4 linked regions of the Arabidopsis thaliana genome follow. The protein of the gene in region 4 interacts with the protein of the main gene of each other region in a pairwise test. Each region holds a gene or a part of one and is shown on either strand. Other genes may lie near its edges.

Region 1 (6,393 bases), on a different chromosome or scaffold from region 4:
AAATGATACTTTGTTTTGGTATTAATCTCTCTGATGAACATATAAGGTTGTTGATCTTATGTTTTTTACCTATATCCAATTGGATTTGAGGAAATAGTAGGATTCTTAATTATTTTTTTAATAAACAAATATAATGGAGATAATACTTTATTCAGGATAATGAGATTATTGGTCAAATATAAAATTTGCTGTTTTGAACAAAAGCAATAATAAGTTATCTTGCTCGAATCAAGGAACACAAGCTAGGACAAGAAGCTCTAACTTTTCTTTGTAAAATTGTTAAACATAACGGCATTAGTTGTAAGAACGCTAATTTTTTTTTTTTTTTTAATTTATATATATATATATATTTTTAATAAATTATAGATAAGCAATCTATAATTTATATTATATTCAAAAACTAAAATAATAAGTTATCGTTTTGTTGTATTGTTTCTTGTTGTTATGGAAAGTGGCATTCGTAGATATCTTATGTTAATCGTTGTTTTAAGAAAAATATAGATTGTTTATCTAAATTGTATTTGGGTGTAGTCTATACCGTGTATAACACACTATTTTTTTTTTTCGTTAAAACTCAATTTACCTGAATTTTTTTTTTTTTTTAATTAAGATGAAATTTTGTATATCGATAACTTATATGATCATTTCTTATTTAATTTTCATTTTTGCCAATATGGAAAATGAATTGTACGGTTTTCATTCTTAGATTATAATATTTGTTATCTTTTCTATATATGAATGTACGATTTTTTATATGCGAATGTATTTTAACTTATCATTGACCAAAAGTCTATTATAGAAAAATAAAACATAGATATTGTGTCTTTTAATATATCTAAATAAAGAGAAAGTCATTTATACATGTATAGTTACTTATTTCTCCTAACCCATAATTTTTCTTTTGGACAAACTCCTAACCGATAGTTTATACACGTTTTGGTAGGAACTATAAATAGGTCGAGTCGTCGAGAGGTTAGCCATCTTTCAGATACTAATCTTTGGATTTCCTCTTTATTCTATATCAGTTTGGGGAATGGAAACTTGTTGGGGAAAGCCTGACATTAGATAGAGGCGGTAGTCTCATTGCTAAAAACATAACGTCTGATTATCGGCTGCAATCCTATATGGATACTGGCCATTTCTTATGGTTAAATGTTATGTTCTGCAATGAGAGAGTTTTGTCCTCTATGTGAGTATCAATTTTTTTGGCTTGAGAGATTCATAGGGAGCCTTATTTTTTGTACTGGCCAGAGAAAGCTTGTATGGTCGATTTGTATGGGTGAAGTTAAGAGTAGTGTAGCATCTAACTGTCTTTTGTATAAGTCGGATCAATAATGGCAAAATGTTAGATGAATACAGTAGTCCATGAGTATAGGTTTGCTCGATATATATCTCATTTCCATATACATACTTTACCTACAATATCTGTATCAACGTTAACAAAACTGAACTTGGACCTCGATTGCTAAACAGCCCATCAATTCTTTTGGCCCAAATATTAATGTTTATTGCTCCCCCCCCAAAAAAAAAGATTACTGTCAATTGTCAACAATGTCCATTGCCTTTCAATTATCTTATATAATATAACTAGATTTCAATTAGCTTATATAATTTTTTTGACAGAAATAATCTTGATTTTCTTAGCCTATCAGTTCTATATCAAATCTCAGAAATCCTTCATTTTGAATTTGTTGATTCTCGGAGATGAAGAAATCAAATGGGATACATAAAACTAACGATTAGTTCCTCTTGAATTTTTTTGAGCTAAAGGAATAATTTTTGAAGAGATTAGCCTTATTACCTAAATTCATGGGTTAAATAGGCACACAATATACTCACATAGAGCAAAAAGTTAAAAACTCAGAAATTGTAAACCAGAAACCAATAATTTCCAAAACCGCGGATAGTTTGTTGGGACTTATTTTGGACACATATCTTCGAACCATTTCATACACACAAAAGGCATTATTGATTATAAACCTCAAAAATTGATGGTCGGCCACTGCCGCCACACTTTCAAGAAAAATAGCACTAAATTGTTATAAGACTTTTTTGTTTGTTTTGTCAAATAATTATATAAACCTTAGGTATAAGGTTTATGAAAACGACAAGAGACACGCAAGGAAGGACTAAAATAAACAGTTAAGCCCATATAAAAAAAAAGTAATGTAGCAACCCAAAGTTTTGAATTGATTTTTCACTAACACAAGCGATATCATGCGGCGGCGCGTGGGGTCTCTTTGGCCAATTTGGTAAATTCAGTTGCACCGCAGAAACACATGCAGAGGTTCGTCGTCATAGCGAACATATGTTTAAATTCAGATTATACAACTGGTTTATTAGGCCTAAAACATAAATTTTTTGTTAGGTTCTAAATATTTCTTAAATTATAAAATTTGTCGCTAAACTCTTTTTGTCTTTCTCTTGCTAAAAGCTACATGAGGTCGATTACAAATCGCTTATGAAATACGATAAAAAGAAGTTGCAACGAAACTGTTAGAATTTGATCTTTTATGAAAGCAATATGCATAATGCATGATCTTTGTTTAGTCAATACATATGTCTAAGTGTCTAACACATGTAACAGTTCTATGACTGTTTTATAGTCTCATAAAACTACACGATTCCGGTTCTACATATAAAACATAAACATAAAATCTTCACAATCTGCATGAAAGTTTTGATTTCGCTACGTGAGATCTCCTTTAGTTAATTAATTTGACTTCTTATGATATTTGATTATATCAAACATGTTTGTTTCATTTACTACTGAAATTTGCGTTATTTTAAGACTTCTGTAGATAAATTTGTTATGTGAATTTGATATTTATCTATATAGGACCGTCAAAAATTTTATTTATTTTATATTTTTAGATGCTTCTATATATATATGTATACACGCATAACATATATAAGATTGGTAAACATGAGCAGAAAAATTATAGGACAATTAAACTTCCTCTAATTTTATCAGAAAACTTTTGTTCGAATTCATATGAAAATTTTCAAAATAAATAAAAAAATACAATTTATTTACAAACTCAAGACTCATAATACACATATCTTGTCCGTAAGTGAATAAGCCAGTCCAAACTCACACGCTTGCTCAGCATTTACGTCTCTCATTAGTCTCTATCTCTTTTGTTTGTTTCCTTCTTTTCTCAGTCCGTCTTTTGTCGTGATTTAAGAGAGAGGCGCGTGAGTCAAACAGGACACTAGCAAAGCAAACAGCTGCACAAGTCAGTCCGTACTTCACGACACGCCATAGAATACGATAAGATTTTTAAAACCCCCTCGAAACCGACATAAGCGACGGTCGTAACACGATCCACAAACATAATTAGATCCACGTTCAGACGTTGTTAAGTTTTTGTGTTGCTAATTAAGAAGTTTCTTGTTTTTTCCGCAACATATGGATCTCACAACAACAATCGATCTCCGACTCTTACATAACGAACAAAAGAAGGATTAAATTATAAAAACAAGTCTACTAACTCTAACAAAAAGATACTATTTGCTAAAAAAAGAAACTAAAGTAGTTCCACCGAAAGTGGTCTCAAACGGCGCCGTATAGAAAAGTAGGCAAAACGGCGCCGCTATATCCATCTTTATCGTTTGTTTTCAAAGCCAAAGCGGCGGAGGCTCGTTGAGGTCAATGGCTAAGCCACGTCTCACCGTAACAGGGGAAGGAGAAGAATTCATCATCGGAAACCCAACCACTTGATAACCAGGCGATGACGTGGCTGTGTTAGGCGAGGAGGTGAAGTAAAGCGGCGCTTCTGTAGAAGAGTAATCTGAAGTTTTGTCGTTTAGCACACCGGTTCGGAGAAAAATGCGGTGGTGTTGGTGATGATGGTCGGAGCTTGGAGGAACAGGAGGAGGCGCAGCGAACCAGAGCTGTTGGTGTTGGTGGGGTTGGTTATTTGCGGCGGCGGTTGCGGCTGAGGGAGCGGAAGGGAGGTGGTTGAGGTCGAGAGAGAGAGGAGAAGGGAAGTTAGTTTTGGCTTTGATACCACGGAGGAAACGAGCAGCGCCGTCGTAAGCAAGAGCAGCTTCTTCGGGAGTGTCGAAAGTGCCTAACCAAACCCTAGTTTTCTTCCAAGGATCTCGTATCTCAGCAGCGTAGCGACCCCAAGGTCTCTTTCTGACTCCTCTGTAATGCACCTCTCTTGCACACGTCGTTGACGCCATTGTTAGACTCTCAAGAGGGGAAATATGAGAGAATCTAGAGAGAAAGTGGAGAAGAGAAGAAAGAGGTTTTGCTTTGTTGGCTCGTTTGACCCAAATGAGAGAGAGAGTGAGTGAGTTTAAAGAGCAAGAGGTGTGTTTGTAGGGCCGCTTGAGAACACCCGTAATCCTCGGCTTCTTTTGACGATTATCTATCTTTATTTGTTGCCTATACGTAATATATATGGCAAGTTAATAGTAAAAACAAAACTGAATAGTGTTTGATTTCTAGGATCGAGGTTTTCTCTGGGGTTTGCAAGAATCAAGCACCGTTCGATCTTTTGCTGTTGGGTGATGTGACGGTGGTATGCTGAGAGATTGTTACACGTGGGTGTTCTACACCAAAATAATGTTGTTTTAATAAGTTGATGTATTTGAAAAAATACAATAGGATTTCTCATAAAGTGAATACTTCTAGTGGTGAGTGGACTTATTCTAGGACATGAAAGAAAACAATGCTAATCATTCCTTTGAGTGCTAATACTGTTTTCTTATCTACCATTTACAACTTCTGTTATATAAAAAAGATTTGTTAGGTAATGGTTAGAAATAAAATATTTTAGTTCTACTCTCCAAACAACCTCATTACCGTTGTAACTTATGGTAAATTAACTCATTACTTGCTAGTGACGATAATGCCATACTATGAAATTTATGCTATTATAAAAAGAAGATAGAAAGATCATTTTTGCATAGGCTCTCCAAACATTTTTTCATAATTCAAGTACTTTGTTTTCGATCGTAACAATCTCGATGCTTTTTCTCACAGCAACCATTGATACAAAATGATCAAAGAAAAAAGAACTAAAAATAAATAATCTTGTACATTTACGAAGAGGAAAGAAAAATGGGCCGCCTCTTTGACTGAACCTGTGGCATAGGGATGCTGACGTAATCCCTAGTACTGATAATAGCCATCTCTCTCTATCTTTTGTATCTTTCACTCTATTATTTGACAAGTATTTAAATGCTCTCTTTTGGGGTTTTATTGGCACCCATATATATTTATGATGCACGAGGACAAGGCTACAAGGAGATCATTAAATAAAGTTACTTGACACAACTACTCTATCTTTAGCTCTGACTGATTTTGTTTTTCTTTTTGTCCAAAATTCATTAGCCCATCTTATGCAAACTTACTATACTCTCTAGTCTATACTAATAGAGTAGATTACATAGGCTCTTTCTTTTCCCTCTAAAAAGTGACGTAGTTTAAGTCTTTATATTGTGTAAAATATATAGTAATCATAGGAGTCAAAAATTTATAGCAATTGAAGTGGCTTATAATTTTCAGTAATAGACAATGAATTAAAACAAATTAGTTAGAGGTTTTTTGTTTTTGTTTTATCAACTGAAGTTTTATTAGATTAATTTGTCTTTTAACTTCTCTATTTCTTGACATTTTGTAAGATGTTTTTGTTTGGTTTTAGGGTTATTTAAAAATAAATAAAAAAATCTGTGTTTCCTTTCACGTGACAAGGCTTAGGGTCTGTCGTTTTGATTGAACAAATGCATTGGTCCATATCTAACAAAATTTATACACGTGCGAACTCTGATGTCTGACTTCTCTCTCTCTGACATATCTAATTATTTAAATTAACCCTACCTATAAGCACAGTAAAAAAAAGAGAGATACCCCAAAGCTATATAAGCTACTACAGTACTAATAATCATTTTCAAGAAATATTTTGGAGAAAAATGTGAATGTGGCTTTCGTGTTCACGTGAGCCTGTGATACATAAGAGCTTTATGACGTGTCTTTGTAGTAGCAGCTAGGACAAAAGGAGCATCGTCATCAAGTGGTACTGACTGGCTGCCTCCTACAAAAACAGAACACAACTCAACACTCACACGAAATCATGACTTTGATGTCTCTCTGCTTACGTGTCTTCTTCTCATTCCATGAACCCCCTCCTCCTCTCTCCCCACACCTGATCTGACTGCACTTTCGCGCCTCTTTTTTGACTATTTTGTTGCTTTCTTATCTTTCTTTTTTTCCAGGAATTACTTACAGGTAGTAACTTTTACGTTTTACCATCAGCTAGCTCTTTTTACTAGTCAGTGTGATTCACAATTTCGATTAGAGGTAAAAAATAATACTGGAAAATTTTAGTTTAATGCTCTTGTAGCTGTGGAGGTTTATTTTTAGTTGACAATAAATCACAA
Region 2 (7,287 bases), on a different chromosome or scaffold from region 4:
GGACTTTTTGAGAAATGGGAATGGTTGGAGACAAGAAGTGGTGGAATTTGATATCGATATTAGTAAAAAAAAAAATGATGCTTTGGGTTATGAGGAAATCGTATAAGATACTGATTTTTATTGTATAGCTAGAGAAATGATCAAAAAAGGATCAAAGAAAGTAAAATTGATAATATAAAAACTAGGAAGCCTAATGAAACGGAGAACATCTATAAAAAGTTTAACATTTTTCAGTGGATGAAAATGACCAATCTGAAAAAGAAAGAACAAAAACCCTAAATATTATTAATTAAAGTATATCAAAATTAGTGACTACAAGTAAAACAAATCTAAAAGCCAGCTTGAACCCACAAAGATAAGGATTCTCAAGGAATTGATTGAGAAAAAGTAACACAAAAGTTAAAAATAAATATAAAAAGTGCAGATCGTTATGATGCAATTTAACAAAATAAAGTTATGATATTTTAAGAACAATCAATCTAATCGGTAACATAGAACAACCATTGATTTTATTGCATTATTGAGCTAATGATTCTGGATCTTTTGTTAATCAGTTTTTAAAAATCTACTCTACTGGGGGAATAAAAACACAGACAGACACAAAGATGCAAAAAAGACAAAACGAGGTAAAGAAGAAAGCGAAGTTGATCTTTGCTCACCAGCCAATGCCAACCACCGAGTCCGACGGCTTTCTTAACGACGCCTTGAAGACCGACGAGAACAGATTTGGTACGGTTGTTTCCAGTAACGACAACTTTGGTATGACGTGGCAACACTGACAATTCTTCTTCGCTACTGCAATCGCCGAAGCAACTCTGTAGCTGAGAGAATCCTCCTCCTCCTCCATTGAGGATGCTTGACTTGTTCACCGGAGCTTCCAGCATTTTGTGTTTTCTCTCTCTCTCGTTTTTTCCCTCTCTATTATCAGAAAGTACCACAAGCTTTTTTACGATCTCGGAAATGGAAGTTGGTGCATTTTGTGAAGGATTGAGAAATGGAGTAAGAGAGAAATCGAGCTGAGAAATTAGGGTTTGTTTTTGGTCTGATGAAGAAAGACAGAGTAAGAGTGAGAGAAGAAAGAGGAAAAAGCAGAGTGTATTATGATGAGTAAGAGAGAGAAAGATAGAGATACAGAGGAGGGAAGGGAAGGGACGATAGGCGATAGCGACCGCCTTCCTATCGTGACCAATAAGGTATCAACACGTGTGTTTTGTACTTGTATCATTTGCACTGTGGAAATTGAGCGGTTTTTTCATGGATGGGTACCAAAACCTTTTTTTGTTTTTTACCGAGAGCTTTTTTACTTTTTACTCTCTAATAAAGATGAATTCATTTGTTGGAAAACTTGTATTACTTTTTACTCTTTATTCACTGTATTACTTGTCTTGTCTTGGTTGTGAAGATTTAGATTTTGTAAAAACGAAATTGAAACAAAAAAGAAAGGAGTGGATACGTTTGGTTAATTTGTATGAAACATTTTGGGTACTAATTTGTATTGGAATCTGAGATTGATGCTTTTAGAGGGTTTTAAAATGATCAAAAAAGGAAAACGAGGGCCACACTTCGTAAATTTTGTGTAATGTCTACACGCGATCGACGTGAATATGAATGGTTGACTGGGTTTTTTCAAAATAAAAAAAAAGTCAGGAGTTATGGGGCCCATGCATGCGTAAGTTACGATTATACCCCTATTGTTTATTTGTTTTCGTTCCTCTCCAATGTAATTTGAATTTGAAATCACGCCTCTATTAAATATGTCATCGTATAATGTCCATATTGAACATTTAACTAAACTAAAACAATGTTCATGGAGTGATTCTTAAGCCAACATTTTTTCTTGTTCAAGACATAGCATTTTGTAAGTTTGATGGTTTAAAGTAATGTACTTATTGTCCAAAACGAGTTAGCTAGGTAACATGGAGTTAATCGGAAAAACAGAACATATTTCCAAAAAAAACATACTTAACACATAATCTACTTATTATCACAAGTAGGTTACTAGTGCCAAACCAAAGAAGAAAACCCCTAAATTCCTTTTAATGCTAGAAACGAAAGCTGGTATTAAGATTTAACTGATGATTTAAAACGTATCACCAATAATTAACACATAATCGCTCGATTAGCAACAAAGTCGTTGTAGTATAGTGGTAAGTATTCCCGCCTGTCACGCGGGTGACCCGGGTTCGATCCCCGGCAACGGCGATTACTTTAGTTTTGCCTAATTCATCGAACCCTCTGATTCATTCCAAATGTTTCCCAACTCGCGTTGATGGTTCGGGTTCCTCTGCTTTTAAGACATTAGTTACATGCTCCTGCACTTTCTACAAAATAAACGTCATAATCCAAAAATATTACATGATCATACATCATATATGCCGCCGAACCTTGTTATGGGACAAACTCGTAAACCCCTTTTTCCTTTTATGTTCAATGAACTATACAAGTTTTGGTTATGAATACATAAATAATGATGGACCCAGCAATTAATCCAAAATTTGGATATTAGATACTAAAGCTTAAAATCAACATGTAACCAAACTAAATACTTTATAGAACATAGTAAATGGTATTCACCAATCTTTATATCATTTGTAAGGTACGAAGAAGGTAAAAAAAAGAGAGAGCCAGTGTACATACAACTAATCAGGACAAAAGTAGTCAAAATTGTTTCTAAAGTGAGATTTGTATGCAAGAAAAAAGTGATAATTTTTAATTGAATATATCATTATGATGTTAATCACACGGCTTCACTGTATAAAATAAAATTTTAAAAACCAATCAAATGGTGTGTTTTTCGGTCACACAAGTAAGGGACCCACACTGAAGAAACGGTCCCACTGTGTCTCCTCCTTTCTTTTCTCTGTATTATTTGGTCATTACTCATTTTACATACTCACAGAAAAAAAAAAAGATTAGAACATAAACACACGTTACTAAGCGTAGTTATCCTCTGCACCTTAACATACACCTCTTATATTCACCTCACGTAATCTCACCCTTCCAAAACCATGTATTTACACGTGGACGATCGATACACAAGAACAATGATTCTTAATATGAACTCAATGTACTTGAACACACACACGACCCAATTTTTACATTAGATGAAAAAAATATTATTATTTGTTGGAGAAGAAAGAGAGATTCTTCTTCTTCGATTCCAGCGAAGGAAAAGCGTATTCCTCGTGAGCACTAACTTCTCACTCCTCTCTTCTTCTTCTTCATCAGTCTACGTTCACACAATCTTTCACCCACCTATTCAAAGCTCTCTCCGGAAGTTTCGAGGGGTTGGTTGTTGGTTTTCCCGATGACTTCGGATGGAGCTACGTCGACATCAGCAGCTGCAGCTGCGGCGGCGGCAGCAGCGGCGAGGAGGAAGCCGTCGTGGAGAGAAAGGGAGAATAATCGGAGGAGAGAAAGACGGAGAAGAGCTGTAGCTGCGAAGATATACACTGGGCTTAGAGCTCAAGGTGATTATAATTTGCCTAAACATTGTGATAATAATGAAGTCCTTAAAGCTCTTTGTGTTGAAGCTGGTTGGGTTGTTGAAGAAGATGGTACTACTTATCGCAAGGTGAAGACTTTCTCCATTTTTTCCAGATCTGAGCTTGTTTTATTGATGTTTTTGATGTTTGAATCTGAATTCGTTGATTTCAATTGTGGTTAAATGGGTTTGAATCTGAGAATTTGAGGGTTTTCTCAAAGTGAATTTGAATCATCAGAAACTATGGATGGATCTGATTTCTCAAAGTGAATTTATGGGTTTTCTTTCTAATTTTAGAGTTATTATTGGTATGCTAAAGTCTTAATCTTTTATGTATGATACTTGGTCCAAAGTCATTGCATTGTGTTTCTTTTGCTTACCTGTGATTGATTGATGTTTGATTGGTTATTGTTTTGCTTTTGTTGGAGTATCAGGGATGCAAGCCTTTACCTGGTGAGATAGCTGGGACTTCATCTCGAGTAACTCCATATTCATCACAGAACCAGAGCCCTCTTTCATCAGCCTTTCAAAGTCCCATCCCATCTTACCAAGTTAGCCCGTCTTCTTCATCATTCCCGAGTCCTTCTCGCGGTGAACCAAATAACAACATGTCCTCTACATTCTTCCCTTTCCTCAGAAATGGTGGCATTCCTTCTTCTCTTCCTTCCCTCAGAATCTCAAACAGTTGTCCAGTTACCCCACCGGTCTCATCGCCGACTTCTAAGAACCCGAAACCGTTGCCTAACTGGGAATCTATCGCTAAGCAATCCATGGCCATTGCTAAACAATCAATGGCGTCTTTTAATTATCCTTTCTATGCGGTTTCTGCACCTGCTAGTCCGACACATCGCCACCAGTTTCATACCCCGGCTACTATACCTGAATGTGATGAGTCTGACTCTTCCACTGTTGATTCTGGTCATTGGATAAGCTTTCAGAAGTTTGCACAACAACAGCCATTCTCTGCCTCTATGGTGCCAACCTCTCCTACCTTCAATCTTGTGAAACCTGCGCCTCAGCAGATGTCTCCAAATACTGCTGCCTTCCAAGAGATTGGTCAAAGCTCTGAGTTTAAATTTGAGAATAGCCAAGTTAAACCCTGGGAAGGAGAGAGGATACATGATGTGGGTATGGAGGATCTTGAGCTTACACTTGGAAATGGGAAGGCTCGTGGTTGACATAAACAACTAGGCAAACCCAAATGGCATGTCATTGGAATATGAGAAACTAATCCTCTTGAGTATTTTCTTCTTCGTCCAGGTATTTGGATCTTTATGGAATCTCATATGTTCTTCACTTATTATCCAAATATGCTGCCCAAAGCCTTCTCCATGGAAGCATTGGAGTGTTAGAGTGGTTATTCAATTCATGAATTTGGTTTCAAAAGCATTATTTGTAGATAAAAAAATCTTAAGATGTATGATTCTGTTTCCTTACATATGTTACATTAATTAGTGGCTTGAAACTGTCTTGTGTCTTGTCAAATTGCTTAGTCATATATCATTTCTTGAGCCGATTCTGTCTCTTAGCATCAAGATCCAAAATTTGCAAAAACATTTGCTTTTACAAAATGTTAAATTCTTTATTTCCCTGCAATCAATCTTTTGGTCAAACACTAACACATCATCAAATATCTAGTTAGACAAAGCTAGCTAGGATAGTAGCATAATCAATGAACACAGCTAGCTACAAATGGTACATTCCATAACGAATACAAACACTGGTCACTCATCTTCTTAATAGTCCAATCCCTGTTTCTGATCAAACAAGTAATGGAGAATGCAGATCCAGTTTGGTTTCAGTCTCATGGCTTTTTGTTTCTCTCTCAGTCTCAACATTACATTCTTGGTATCTGAAACAAGCTGTGAGATGATCATTAACAATGCCAGAGGCCTGCAAGAAGGAATACATAACAGTAGGACCAACGCAGCGAAACCCTCTCTGCATCATATCTTTGCTAATGTACTCTGCCTTTGGGGACTTAACCGGTACTTGACGACCATATCGATAGCCATTTCTTAATGGCTTGTGGTTCACAAATCTCCAACAATAATTACTGAACGATCCAAATTCCTGCTTGACCTGTTTTCAGATTACAACCAAAGCTATTTCAGTAAACACATAGTATCTACAATTTCATAGCAAAACACACAGTGCCTACCTTGAGAACAGATTTCGCGTTCTCTACAATTGCTCGCAGTTTCTGTTCGGATAGAATTAGACACCCATTAACTCTAAGAGACATCAACCTCTTCTCTGTGAATTGTGCTATAGCTGAAGGATCAAACTCTTCAAAGAGCTTCCTACAAAAAAGAAACCAAAACTTCTGATATCACACCAAACCAAAACACAAAATAGCAAATTCACCGTCCTAAGTTTACCTAAAGTCGTCTCTTCTGCGTAGGATTGAAGGCCAGCTAAACTCAGCCAAAGCTTGTGAGAAGACAAGTAGCTCGAAGAGTTTCTTGTCATCACGAACTGGAACACCCCATTCCTCGTCGTGGAACAAAACATAGATCGGGTCTGTTTGATCAATCACCATTATTATTATTAACTGAAAAACTTACATATCCAATGTCATCAATCATCTTCTACATTTTTTTTTGTCCTTATTTATCAACTACAATACCTAGTTTTTGCTAGGTGCAATTAATGTGTTGTTGACATCTATGAAAACTGATTGTAACCTTTATTAACTTTAACGTATTATCAAAACAAAATTACATTTCGAAAACCATAAAAAGCCATTCACATGGCATCAATTTATAAAGTCGATTGAGATATTTTATTGGGGCCAAAAACGAAGAAATTTGGTAAGTATCTTTTAATTCTTTGCAGATTCATTAAATGTTGTGACAAGGACAACAAGTCTCTACATAGTGTAAAACATTTTATTCCTAACAATAAAACCTAAAAACTAATATTTTGTTTTATTCTTTAAAAATATACTCCCTCGTTCCTTTTTGTTTGATTGTTTAGAAAAAAAAATTGTTTCAAAAAGATTAATTTTTTAGATTTTCAATACAATAGTTATTAGTTATAATTGATAAATTGTAAACTTCAACACAAATTAGTGAATATCATTGGTTTAAAGTTATTGAAAATTGTAAATCACAAAAAATAATACATTTAAATGCAACATTTATTATGTTTTCTTAATATTTGTGTATTTTCTAAAAGATCAAACAAAAAGTAACAGATGGATTATATACTTCCTCGTTATTCACGAAATTCAGAGGTAAAAAACAGAATTTTCTCTAAATAAATGAGAGAAAAAATGTGAATTTAAATTAAAGTTAAATGAGGCAAAGAGGGAAAAAAAAAGGTGTCAGACAAAGAGACCTGAATTAGGTGTGATCCAGTGGCATCTCTTGACCGGTCCCGGAATTTTAGGACTAATGTCTTCAACGACGGCGACGGAGGCAACGACATTATTGAGCTTCTCAACTCCGTTCCGTTTCGACGGAGTGGTTACTTTCCCAGAGTTTGTCGTGTTCACTGACGAACGTTCCGAGGATGAAGAAGAAGAAGAGGAATCATCAGTCGAAACTGAGAAATTGGAATCGGGCTTCTTCGTCGCCGGAGATTTCGTCACTCGTGGATTCAGTTGTGGCTTCTTCGTCATTTCTGTTTTCGTAACCTTAAATCTGTTCCCGGTCGAACAGAGGATAGCTCGTGACTCATCTATTGGTTTAACCGGAGAACGAAGCTTAGAGACTATAGACATCTGAGAGAAGCTTTGAATGGTAGGAGATGGAGAATTCGAAGGTAACGTGAGGGTAAAATTGGAAAGATAAGGAATG
Region 3 (5,759 bases), on a different chromosome or scaffold from region 4:
TGCAGCAGCGTAACGGTTTAACAAAACTTCGTACGTCTTCTCGTTAACAAATCCATCTCTCTTAGACATTTCGTCGAACACTTGGTGAAACTCTTCAAATCGCCGCATTTTCCCAAGAACATCGAGAATCTCGTTATACAACATCGAGCTAGATAGATGAACAGATTGTTTAACGACCAATTGAGAAAGTATATAAGCTGGTTTCCAATCAGATCGATTCCGATTAACCACTTCTAAAACAAGCTCTTCGGTTAAGTCTATCCCGCACTTATCGAGAATCCGCTTAATCTTTTCAGGTGAACTTCCACGGTGATGCTTTATGATGTTATGAACATCAAGAGCAGATTGCTTGTCTTTGTCGTCGTTGAATCTATTTGGAAATTTGTCGGGAGCTCCAAGAGAATGAAGAAAGTGTGTACCCAGAAAGTGGAACCTGGAGAGAGTGATATTGTTCTTATGATTCGGTGTCTCGGGAGGAAAAACACGGCGAAAATCGACCAATGATGAGATCCGGCGCCGCGATAGAGCACTTTGTAGCTGAAACAAGATTTCAATTTTGTTTTTCCCTCCCATCTTCACTAAACTCTCTAAAGATCTTCCGAAGCAAAACGTTACATATACAACAACAAAAATTGCAATGAAAAATACATATCTTTTTACCAAAAATGAATTAAACCGGATTTTTTTAGTAAGGTTGAATGATCATTATTTGTTTAAGAACAGCATTATTTGTTAGTGATTGCTATTAAAATACGAATGATAACAAATTTTAGTATATGAAATTTCATTCGTTTCGGACAAAAAAAATAATTTTTATTGAATAAAGAATTTATTTCGATTGAAGTGATATTGTTTGGTACCGAAAGTTTTGCTTACAAACAAACAGAGGTTTTGAATATAGAGACAGCATAAAAGTGAAGCTAGCTTAAGTCTATAATCATGTTTAAGAAAATTAAACAGTAGTATCTTCTTAATGAAACGTAAAGATAATATATTTAAATAAATGAATCTTTTTATTTTCTGATATCCAGCTGATTCTGTGGCCCAAGAAACCCAATCCATTATCCATGGCGTGAAGACATATGTAGCTGTCGTAAAAGAATAAACAAAGACCAATTAAAAAAGAGCCAATTAACAACCAAATTACATAAAATTTATTAAAACTAATCTATTAATCACACGTCTTGTTCTGCCGTCAGAATGTAATTACCGTCCGTCTTTTAGGAAACAAAGAACAAAACAAACGGCGGGCCCACCGCCGTTAGAATCTCTCTCGGTTAGCCGACGCGGCCACCATTCTCTCTCTCTCTTCATCCATTCTCCACGCGTCGCGTTGACCACGTGGCACTATACATCTTTAAAACTCTTTCTATTTTATTTAAATAGCGAGTGCGTTGTGGGCCATCTTTGTTTTTCTTTGGCGGAGGGGCGGCTAAATAGCCTTTTGTTTTTATTTTAGTTTTATTCCGCGAAAGAAAAAGCAGTCAAACTCCAAGTTGAATTTGGAGCTGAGTCTACGAAGTCACGCATAACGCTCTTTCTTTCACGCGATCGCCGTCGGCACGTGTTTGGCGGTGAGATTCACGCTCGTACATGGAAACGCGGTTCCCAAGCCGCGCGTCCTCAAGGTGTTGCCACGTATTTTACATTTTTGCGTCATCCAATACTGTTCTTTGGTTTCTTCTTCTCTCTTCTTTTCAGGCGCCGCTGCTTAACTTATTTCCTAGTTTTTGAAGTTACTCTTGTCTTTAACTCACACTGCCATATAGTATGACTTTATTTACCTGTATTTTCAAATTTTTACACACATAACAGTATCTTTAGTTGTTTATTGGTCTTACAAAAAATTGGGTATTTTTTAAACCAAAAGTTTTGAGATACGAAAACAAAATTGATATGATCTGAAAAATTAGTTACTCACATATTTGTTCAAGTTTTTTTCTCAATTATGCAAGCATTAAGGTTGATCCAACAGGTTATGAGAAAACAAACTGAGTTCATTACAAGTGTACTCACTAGAGCAAGCTTGTGTAGTTATATCCTAAATCATGAGGGTAAATGGCACATGACAATTCGTAGTTAGATTAACTATATATATTAAATTAAGATGTGGGATTACATTCTTAATTCCCTCGGTTATGAAAATCAAAATCTTATCACCAGCATTCAAGGGAATACGCTGTGTAGACAAAACAGCAAACAACATGCATCTCCATTAAATGCGTCAAATACTGTACGGATTTCTTTAGTTTTTTTGTTACAAATTGTATCAAAAGTTTGTTAGTACATTGTACATACAGATAACAAATGAATTTCACTTTTTAGATAAAATAGTTTACACAAAAAAAAAAAAAAAAGACTTTGCATCCAATATTTTCCACCACAAAATAAATCATTCAAAATACGGATTGATTAAATATGTATCATAGTAAGATCTATATTTCAAAATTTATCCTTATTTCATTAAGAACTTTAATGCAAAGATTACATAGTCCAATTAATTTTCTCATTGCCAAATATTAATAATTAAATTAAAGATCCAGTGATAAAAAGTTTTATTTTAAAATTAAAGTCAATCAAATTAATGTATTTAATTTGTATCTATATTTTTGACAATGTATTCAACTTTTTAAATACATCAATAAATTCATTAATAAGATGATCAACAAAAATTGAAAACGCTTGGTGAGGTTAAAAAAGAAATGAAGGGTTGATAAGAAAAACAAAATTCTTTGAAAGAGGAAAGAAAAACACGTGGCAAAAGATAAGTGGAGGTAAAAAAGAAAACCATGAAAACCGCTGGTGTTTTGTAAGAGAAGCCGCTAAAACCATTTCAGGCTTTGACTGTTCACAACAAAGCGCCCCAAAAGGAGCGTCGCTTTTACTCTCTCTCCCATCCTATATATAAACAACTCTCTCCTTTCCTCTTCTCCCTTCAATTATCTATCACACCACCACTCTCTCTCTAATCTATCTATCCGAGAATGGCCAAGATGGGCTTGAAACCCGACCCGGCTACTACTAACCAGACCCACAATAATGCCAAGGAGATTCGTTACAGAGGCGTTAGGAAGCGTCCTTGGGGCCGTTATGCCGCCGAGATCCGAGATCCGGGCAAGAAAACCCGCGTCTGGCTTGGCACTTTCGATACGGCTGAAGAGGCGGCGCGTGCTTACGATACGGCGGCGCGTGATTTTCGTGGTGCTAAGGCTAAGACCAATTTCCCAACTTTTCTCGAGCTGAGTGACCAGAAGGTCCCTACCGGTTTCGCGCGTAGCCCTAGCCAGAGCAGCACGCTCGACTGTGCTTCTCCTCCGACGTTAGTTGTGCCTTCAGCGACGGCTGGGAATGTTCCCCCGCAGCTCGAGCTTAGTCTCGGCGGAGGAGGCGGCGGCTCGTGTTATCAGATCCCGATGTCGCGTCCTGTCTACTTTTTGGACCTGATGGGGATCGGTAACGTAGGTCGTGGTCAGCCTCCTCCTGTGACATCGGCGTTTAGATCGCCGGTGGTGCATGTTGCGACGAAGATGGCTTGTGGTGCCCAAAGCGACTCTGATTCGTCATCGGTCGTTGATTTCGAAGGTGGGATGGAGAAGAGATCTCAGCTGTTAGATCTAGATCTTAATTTGCCTCCTCCATCGGAACAGGCCTGAGCTTTTAACGGTGTCGTTTCAATTCGAAGCGCATGCGTTTCTTCTTCTTTTTGAGCTGTGAAAATTCGTTTTCTCATAGTTTTTCCTCTCTCTCTCTCTCAGTCTAAATTTATTACCAGTTTTTAGAAAGAAAAAACAGATTAAATCTGAGAGAGAAAAATATAATTTTAGCTGACATGGATCGTTATGTACATATTATTACATAACCGGAGATCTGAACTTTTGTTGTGTGCTTTTAATTTTTTGCGACTTGGTTTCACCCCATGTTGTTTCTCTATTTTTTTTACTACTTTTTTTTTTTTTGTTCTTCCAAATTTTCAATCAATAATTTGGTAATCTTCAGAATTATCTTGTCCAATCCAATTTCCGAAATTTTGATTATTACTACTTGTGGGTTGTGGCGGCTCCTTCTATTGGCTTTCCTTTTCTATCGTTACCACCAAATTAAAAAAATTGAAGGGACTAAAATTACTTATTTGACAAAACAAAATAATTGTAAGTTGAAGTATAAGAAAAACTAAAATTCAAAGTGAGATTAATAAAATGGTAGTTGAGTATCGTCGGCTTTTAACAATGGTCCAAGTTTCCAGCAGACACGCAGCCGGCGTGTGTGGGCCCTCGTTTTGCTCTCTGCGGCGTAAGTTAGAAAATTCTTTGCGCTTACGTCACTTAGTAGTAGGGTCCACTCACAGAGTACGGACATACTCATTTCTTTTCTTTCTAGCTAACTTGGAAGAGTCTTGAAGCTGAGAGTTAACACTCTTTAGGTCTGACAGAGAGAACCTAGATTTTTAATTTGATAGATTCTTAAATTTGGAAAAGAAACTGCCACAAAACAAAGATAAGATTTTGTTCAATTTTTTTTAAGAAAGATCTCTAGTTTCGTAAACAAATTTTTGTCGGCAAAAAATGGAAAAAGAGTACACAAAGTCTCTAAAGAAACAACTATGACTAGTCTAGATATTGGTTTTTTTTATCTGAAAGCTTTTAGAATATATAGCTTATAGTGCAAAATTAATTTTCTTTAAACTATGACATTGAATTGATTCGGAGTTGAATTGGACTAAACCAACATCATTTGACCCGTTAAGCTAACAATAGTGTTATTTATAGATATTCTTTTGGCCAATTATTTCTAGATGGCTGGTCTTTTTGAATTTTATTTCGTTGTTTTAAATTTGTGCGGAAAGTAAATTTAACTTGCGAAATTTTTTATTGAATGATGGCGTGATGTGTTGAAAATGTAAATATAGGTACAAAACAATGATGTTAAAAGTTTGAAAGAAAACGACGACGTATAAGAGGGTGTGAAATAGAAAGCGGCTTCATAATGAGAGGCAGAGAAGAGAGGTTTTTGATTGGATTCTTGTCTCCAACTCCGCAATCAGAAAGAGTCAATAACTATCCTTTCGTGATTCTCGTGTAGATCCAACGGCTAGATTCTATTCTTATCCACGTGTCTGGATCATACACTTTCATGTTTATTAACTACGCAAAAAAAAAAAAAGAGTGAAGCGGCACCGACGGCCAAGCAGCGCGAGTCATCATCATCCTTTTCAGAAGAGACCGAATCAGAGACGGTGGCGCCCACATTCCCATTTTTTTTAATAATATATTTATGAGAATAAGACTTTTTAGTAGTATTATTTCAAAGTCTTTGTCCTCTCAAAGAGAGTATTTATAGCGAGTAAATTATGTTTACAAATATATATATATATCTAGAAATAAAGAATGTTTTTACGCATCTTTTATCGTATTCAAATAATTTCACTCAGACAGAATAGTTGAGGTATATTTTAGAAGTTAATTTGATAAGTTAAACTCCTGTTTTTAAAAGAGAGACAATTTTGCAGAGGAAAACATTGTATGCCCGTAACAGTTCATGAAGATAAAATCACTTAAAATAAAAAAATTAATATTTACTTTTCCTATTGGTAGTTATCCAAGTAGAAGTCCACCAATTATAATTGACCTAATATGCCTTAAAAATCCGGTTCGATTGACTCTGTTAACATATTTCTTAAGTGAAAACCGGAATTTTTACAGAAGATGTGTGTGGTTGAGCATATGGCGCGTGTGAAAGTGGCATGGGATGTAAATTCCGTG
Region 4 (6,171 bases):
CATCACGGAGCATACTCAATTATCAAATTCTATCACTAATGGATCAATGAAAACCATCTTATTATAAGCTTACTATAAGTGTTAATGAAGAGGTTAGACTAGTTCAAGGAGCTTCAGAACTCTACCACTAGTATTGCAAAATCCTTTAAACTAACTTTGAATCATCACCAGCTAGGAACTAAAGGCTCTGATTGTCACAATTAAGCTTCTTAAACAAGATATATTCCTCATCAGATTTGTGTAAACAAAGCGTTAGAAGAAAAGCAAATAGCTGAACAAGGTGCAGACCTGATAAGTACCTTGAAGGATTAAAGCACAAATTCATGAATAAACTTGTCAACAAGATTCTCCTTGTCGTCGAAGGGACACTTTTCACAGCTAACTCATGTAAATTCGACTTCCAATCTTGAGTAACCCTATCGAATAATCAAACAGTCAAAAAGTAACATAAACATCAAAATTCTCCAAGAAATCAACAAATCTTAATGTCTGATTCAAAATGAGAAGTTTCTCCAAAAGATTGTTCCAAAAGTTAAAAGCTTTACGGTGATTTTTCACTAACGTTGATTCACACATAACACCATTCTTAGTAACCTAAAGCCCATCAGGAAAAGACATAATCTTTGAGCAACCCAAATCAAAGGAACAAATTTTCAGCAAAATTTGGGGCAATGGAAGAAGCTAAAATGCTTACTTGACAGAAGAAACGGGTGGGTGTGAAACGACGTCGCCTTGAGAAATTTTGGAACAGACTGAAGAAAGAAGTTGTCGTCGACCAACAAATTCATTCTCATTAGGTTTCGAACAGAAAGATGCTATTACCTGCATCTTTCCAAAAAAAATCGAGAAAACTCTGAGACCAGTCGATTTGGCAAAAACCTGGATAAAATTAAGAATCTTAGATAATTTTTTGTGTAGCTTAGGAAGAAGAAGATACTTGAAATACCGAAATGCCCTCTCTAGTAATTTAGAAAATAAATGATTTATTTATTTTATATGTGTTATTTTGTTGTGAAAAAACCCAAAAAAGCAGATATTTATTTTTTTATTAAGAAATATTGCATTTTATACGCGAAATTTTAAAAAGTAATTATTTTAAATATGTGAACTTCGTATATGGCCATTTAATATATAAAAATACGTTGATCGGGCACCATTTCATACAAAATTATTTGTTGATCATGCCAAAATACACACGACGTTATCTACCGCTAACAGATCCGATAACATCCGTTAACTAGTCTCTTTTAGTTTCCAATACAACGTCGTTTCACCATAATCGAAATGAGAAAAATGTCATTTAATACTCCAACTTTCAAATTGTGACAGTTTTATACATCAACTTCACATGTGATTATTTTATACATAAATTAAACATTGACCAGCAGTTTGAAATATGAAAATGCGTTGAGCAGACCAGAAAAACATATCGCTATCTAGGCCTAGATATTCGGATTTTAGTTTGGATTCATAGGGAACAGCACTTCTATCGGGAAATGGGTGTCACGCCGCGATCCAAAAGTGTTAATCGAGAAGAACAGCAAATATGCATTGGGCTAAAGACGTCATTCAGTTTAGGTCCTAAGAGTGAATCAAACGATGTGAGGCCTGAGTGGAAGATGAAGGAATTATGCTTTTAAAAGTTTGAAACAAAAAGAAAACTGTAGGTTTGCTTCTTGATTTTCCAAATTCCTCTTCATTGTTGGACTCTTGTCTTACCATGTATACTTTGTTTTTTTGTTTAGGTGGACCACAATGTGATTGTCTTGTGCAAGGTCTCTTTCAAAAGTGTTATCAAGGTTTATGAAACATCTCCACTTCTTTATTTCAGGTTCACAATTTACTTTTTTTATCTCACTAAATTAAAATGTCTCCTTCAATTCTCTTTTCTAGGTTGAGCAGACCACTTTGGAGGAGCTATTAATCGAACCTTGCGAGCGAGTGTTGTACCAGCCGAGAGGCAAGTGTACCTCCATCATCCTCTTCCTTTGAGGACGACGAGCATGTCCGATACATGCTCCCTAGGGTTTAGTCTCGGAGATAGATGGTTTGATGTATCGGTTTTAAAGCACAAACCGTTCAAAGCATTAAAGCAAAAACTTGGATTTTCACAGCATTAATAGATATTCCAAGAGGATGGTTGTTGACAACTTTAATGTTTTACATATAAAGAGAAATAGAAAGCTTAGGTTAAAGGCTATTGACCAAACTTCCCAACTTGTGTTGCGTGGGTTAAAAAACCTAGGCCATTTTTTGGACTTCTCTCATCTTGAATTGTTTTTTGGTTCATCTTGTTTTTTTTTTTTTTTTTTACCACGAGATCTTCATTTCTATTCTACGTATACATTATGTTTTTACATGTCTCAAACTTGGAGACATATATAGCAACCTTAAGCAATGCCTTCGATTTTACCAATGCCTATATTGACTTACCATGGATTTTACTTTTCTTATATGTTACAATAATATATATAAAAGTATGAAACTATAAATAAATGTGGAAGAAGGAAGGAATAAATTAATTTTAGGGAATCGCGAATTTGAGATTTCATAATTTACGTAAAAGAACATTACTTTATTTACGGCTATAACTAAAACTACAACGACCCTTTGCTTAAGCACCACAACTTTCAAATATCAATCTTAATTTATAAGACTTTTACTTATAGACTTATAGATATAGAGATTGGATCCCATATAGATTCTACTCTAGAAAAACGTTTGACATTAGTCGGTCAAAGTCGTATCATCATTAAGTCATTAACCATATAGTTAGATTTTTTTTGGTAGAATGCATCTATAAGATATCGAAACAAAGGAAGAAAAACGTTTCCATATCATATTTTCCTAAAGATAAACCACATACGTAATGTAAGTATAACTTTTCCTATATTGTTCGACTCGTCCGTAGCCTCGATTTCACGAAGTACGCAATAACCTTGAAGTTTGAATCTTCTCATAAGAAAAATAATAATTTTAACGGCAAAATTCAAGATTCATAATATCTTTCTTGTATAAATCTCCTCTTATTCAAGAGACATTGGTCTTATACCTACGCATCACTTTCTGGTCCAATTATCGTTTCCCTATGAACCCATTTCTTCTTCTCTAAGAAACTTCTTCCTTCTTCCCCAAACTTACTCTCTCTATCTCTATAAATCTCTCTGTTTCTCTTCATCAAATTTTGGTATCCCAAAAGTACTAATTCTGTGTGTGTTAATGGTTCTAGTTATGGATGATGAAGAGAGTAACAACGTTGAAAGATATGACGACGTCGTATTGCCAGGGTTTAGGTTCCATCCCACTGATGAAGAACTCGTAAGTTTCTACTTGAAACGGAAGGTTTTACACAAATCTCTTCCCTTTGATCTCATCAAGAAAGTCGACATTTACAAATACGATCCATGGGACCTCCCAAGTAAGCCACAAAACTCTAACTTTTAATTCTCCAAATATATGGAAACAAAATATTTGATTATGCATTTTCTTAAATCAATGTTTAAAAAGAGCTTGCAGCGATGGGGGAAAAAGAGTGGTACTTTTATTGTCCTAGAGACAGGAAATACCGCAACAGCACAAGACCTAACCGAGTAACTGGAGGTGGCTTCTGGAAAGCAACCGGAACAGACCGGCCTATATACTCATTGGACTCCACTCGATGCATCGGTTTGAAGAAATCACTTGTGTTCTACCGTGGTCGAGCTGCTAAAGGAGTCAAAACCGATTGGATGATGCATGAATTTCGTCTCCCTTCTCTCTCTGACTCTCATCACTCATCATATCCCAATTACAATAACAAGAAGCAACACCTTAACAATAACAACAACAGCAAGGAGCTTCCTTCAAACGTAAGTTATCGGATTTGCCCTAACTTGCTTTACCCGCAACAAAGGTTAGGTTACCAAACAAATTAGAATCGATCTTTTTCATTTTGTAGGATGCTTGGGCGATATGTAGAATATTTAAGAAGACAAATGCAGTATCCTCACAAAGATCAATCCCACAATCTTGGGTTTATCCAACGATTCCTGACAACAATCAACAGTCACACAACAACACCGCAACTCTCTTAGCTTCATCAGACGTTCTCAGCCACATATCAACAAGACAAAACTTTATTCCTTCTCCAGTCAACGAACCCGCAAGCTTCACAGAATCAGCTGCTTCTTACTTCGCGTCTCAGATGCTCGGAGTCACGTACAATACAGCCAGAAACAACGGAACAGGGGATGCTCTGTTTCTGAGAAACAATGGAACAGGGGATGCTCTGGTTCTGAGCAACAATGAGAATAACTACTTCAACAACTTGACTGGAGGGTTGACTCATGAGGTTCCGAATGTAAGATCAATGGTGATGGAGGAGACTACGGGGAGTGAGATGTCGGCGACGTCGTATTCCACTAACAATTAAGATCATAGTACTATTAACACTTGAATTAGTGTAGACGTTGATCATCGCTAATATGTATTAATTTTTCTTGTCTTACTATAAACGTTGCTTCTCTTTTGGTTTCTTGAAGGCCGAAAAGAAAAAGAAAAAAACAAAGACTTGCTTCGAACATGCAACTTCTCCTTAATTTGGTATAGATAATTGTAATGGCTTTTTATATTAATCATTAAGTCTCATTCTTGAATGACACTAGTTTTTTTGGATTTTTCAGAGCCATATTTCATATTCTTTATGAAGAGGATACAATGCTTTCTTTTTTTTTTTTGAAAATAAGTAAAGAAAATATGAATTTGCAAAATCTTTTATTTATGTCAATAATGGCAAAGTAATGGATTAAAAAGGTACACGGAGTTATAAATTATATTTCTCATTTTTTAATGGAGGGTTCTAAATTTTATTTAAAATGGATGTATTTTGGTCGATTTTTGTTAGATTGTATTGTCACAAATTTTTAGCAAATCCAATAATTATATTATTAATTAAGAGCTATTTACATAATGATACAAAGGGTATCTGAAATATATATGGACAAGCAAATCTTTCTTTTTTATAGATCTTATTAATTAAAAGAGAGTGAGAGTAGAAAAAAAAAACTATTTCCTTTTTATCAGTCCTTAACGGCTAAATTACACAAATCTATGCAAAAGATATGGAAATCAAATCTTCACAAGCTTTGTTTTACCGATTAGAAGAGTGAAAAAAAAATAAAAAATCTAACTTTAAGGACCAAATTTTCTATAAGTATATCGCTATTTCACAAAGTTGTCTCTGACTTTCATATTCTTCATCATCTTCTTAGGGTTTCCTAAACCTAATTCGTAGTTTCACTCTCTCAATTTCATTCGTCTTCGTGCTTTCTCTTCACTTTGAACGTGAAACAAAAAATAGAGAGATTGTCTTCGAAATCAACAAGAAGATGGCCATTCGATCTTTACCTTCTTCCTCAGGCTGTTCCAATTCCTCTTCGTCTTCTTCTTATTCACTCGCTTCAACAAGTTTGAGCAATAGACTTGAGACCATCTTCAGGAAAGCTTCAGAGCTTTGCACTCTCTGTGATATCGAAGCATGCGTCATCTATTACGGACCAGACGGAGAACTCAAGACATGGCCTCCGGAGCGAGAGAAAGTGGAAGACATTGCTCTCAGGTATAGTCAACTAAACGAAGCCTTGAGACGCAAGAAGAGCGTTACTCTTTATGACTTCCTGAACAAGAAGAAGAACAAGACGAACTTGGAGAAGAAAGCAAAGATAAAGGACAACGACTTGAAAAGACTTGTCTGAAGAACGTGAATGTTTTAAAGTATCCAATTGCTGATCATTACTCTCCTGACCAAATTTCTCAACTGATTCAGTCCTTAGAACCTCATGTCTCTAAAGTCCGAGAAAGGATTCGTTTTGTTGAGTCGCAGAAACATAAGGAGACAAAACCGGATCATCAGAGTTTAGCATCATCCTCTCTGAATAATCAGACCCAATCTTTGAACCCTAGCCAGTTTTCGCTGTTTATGTATAACCATGGAGATAATATTCTGTCTCAGATCCCAGTCTCTGCATCAAATTTCAATCAGGATTATTTCTCAGCGTTACTTGAACAATCTGAGTTGAAGAGTCAGATAATGAAGCAGGAGGTTTGTGGTTATGAGCAGAACATGTGCATGAGTAACAATGGAGATGCTACGCTCTCTCAAATCCCACTCTCTGCATCAAATTTCAATCAAGA

Evidence for each region.
Region 1: the proteins of NAC094 (region 4) and ERF12 interact in binary tests that used the Arabidopsis thaliana proteins (3 or more experiments, as listed by UniProt).
Region 2: the proteins of NAC094 (region 4) and BZR1 interact in binary tests that used the Arabidopsis thaliana proteins (3 or more experiments, as listed by UniProt).
Region 3: the proteins of NAC094 (region 4) and ERF4 interact in binary tests that used the Arabidopsis thaliana proteins (3 or more experiments, as listed by UniProt).

What each region holds. Positions count from the first base shown.
Region 1 is NC_003070.9:9,949,732-9,956,124, reverse strand, and holds ERF12 (ERF domain protein 12), read right to left. Parts: upstream 4,364-6,393; 5' UTR 4,192-4,363; coding exon 3,622-4,191; 3' UTR 3,020-3,621; downstream 1-3,019.
Region 2 is NC_003070.9:28,182,402-28,189,688, forward strand, and holds BZR1 (Brassinosteroid signaling positive regulator (BZR1) family protein), read left to right. Parts: upstream 1-3,102; 5' UTR 3,103-3,307; coding exon 3,308-3,574; intron 3,575-3,918; coding exon 3,919-4,662; 3' UTR 4,663-4,744; exon of another isoform or gene 4,745-5,009; intron 5,010-5,045; exon of another isoform or gene 5,046-5,245; coding exon of another isoform or gene 5,246-5,566; 3' UTR 5,567-5,645; downstream 5,646-7,287. Other genes in the region: AT1G75060 (histone deacetylase complex subunit), read right to left, coding at 660-884; AT1G75090 (DNA glycosylase superfamily protein), read right to left, coding at 5,246-5,566, 5,646-5,787, 5,866-6,007, 6,827-7,211.
Region 3 is NC_003074.8:5,118,488-5,124,246, forward strand, and holds ERF4 (ethylene responsive element binding factor 4), read left to right. Parts: upstream 1-2,934; 5' UTR 2,935-2,984; coding exon 2,985-3,653; 3' UTR 3,654-4,075; downstream 4,076-5,759. Other genes in the region: AT3G15200 (Tetratricopeptide repeat (TPR)-like superfamily protein), read right to left, coding at 1-573.
Region 4 is NC_003076.8:15,937,540-15,943,710, reverse strand, and holds NAC094 (NAC domain containing protein 94), read left to right. Parts: upstream 1-3,120; 5' UTR 3,121-3,219; coding exon 3,220-3,418; intron 3,419-3,507; coding exon 3,508-3,848; intron 3,849-3,937; coding exon 3,938-4,411; 3' UTR 4,412-4,601; downstream 4,602-6,171. Other genes in the region: DEG8 (Trypsin family protein with PDZ domain-containing protein), read right to left, coding at 289-416, 695-828; AGL98 (AGAMOUS-like 98), read left to right, coding at 5,367-5,726, 5,804-6,171.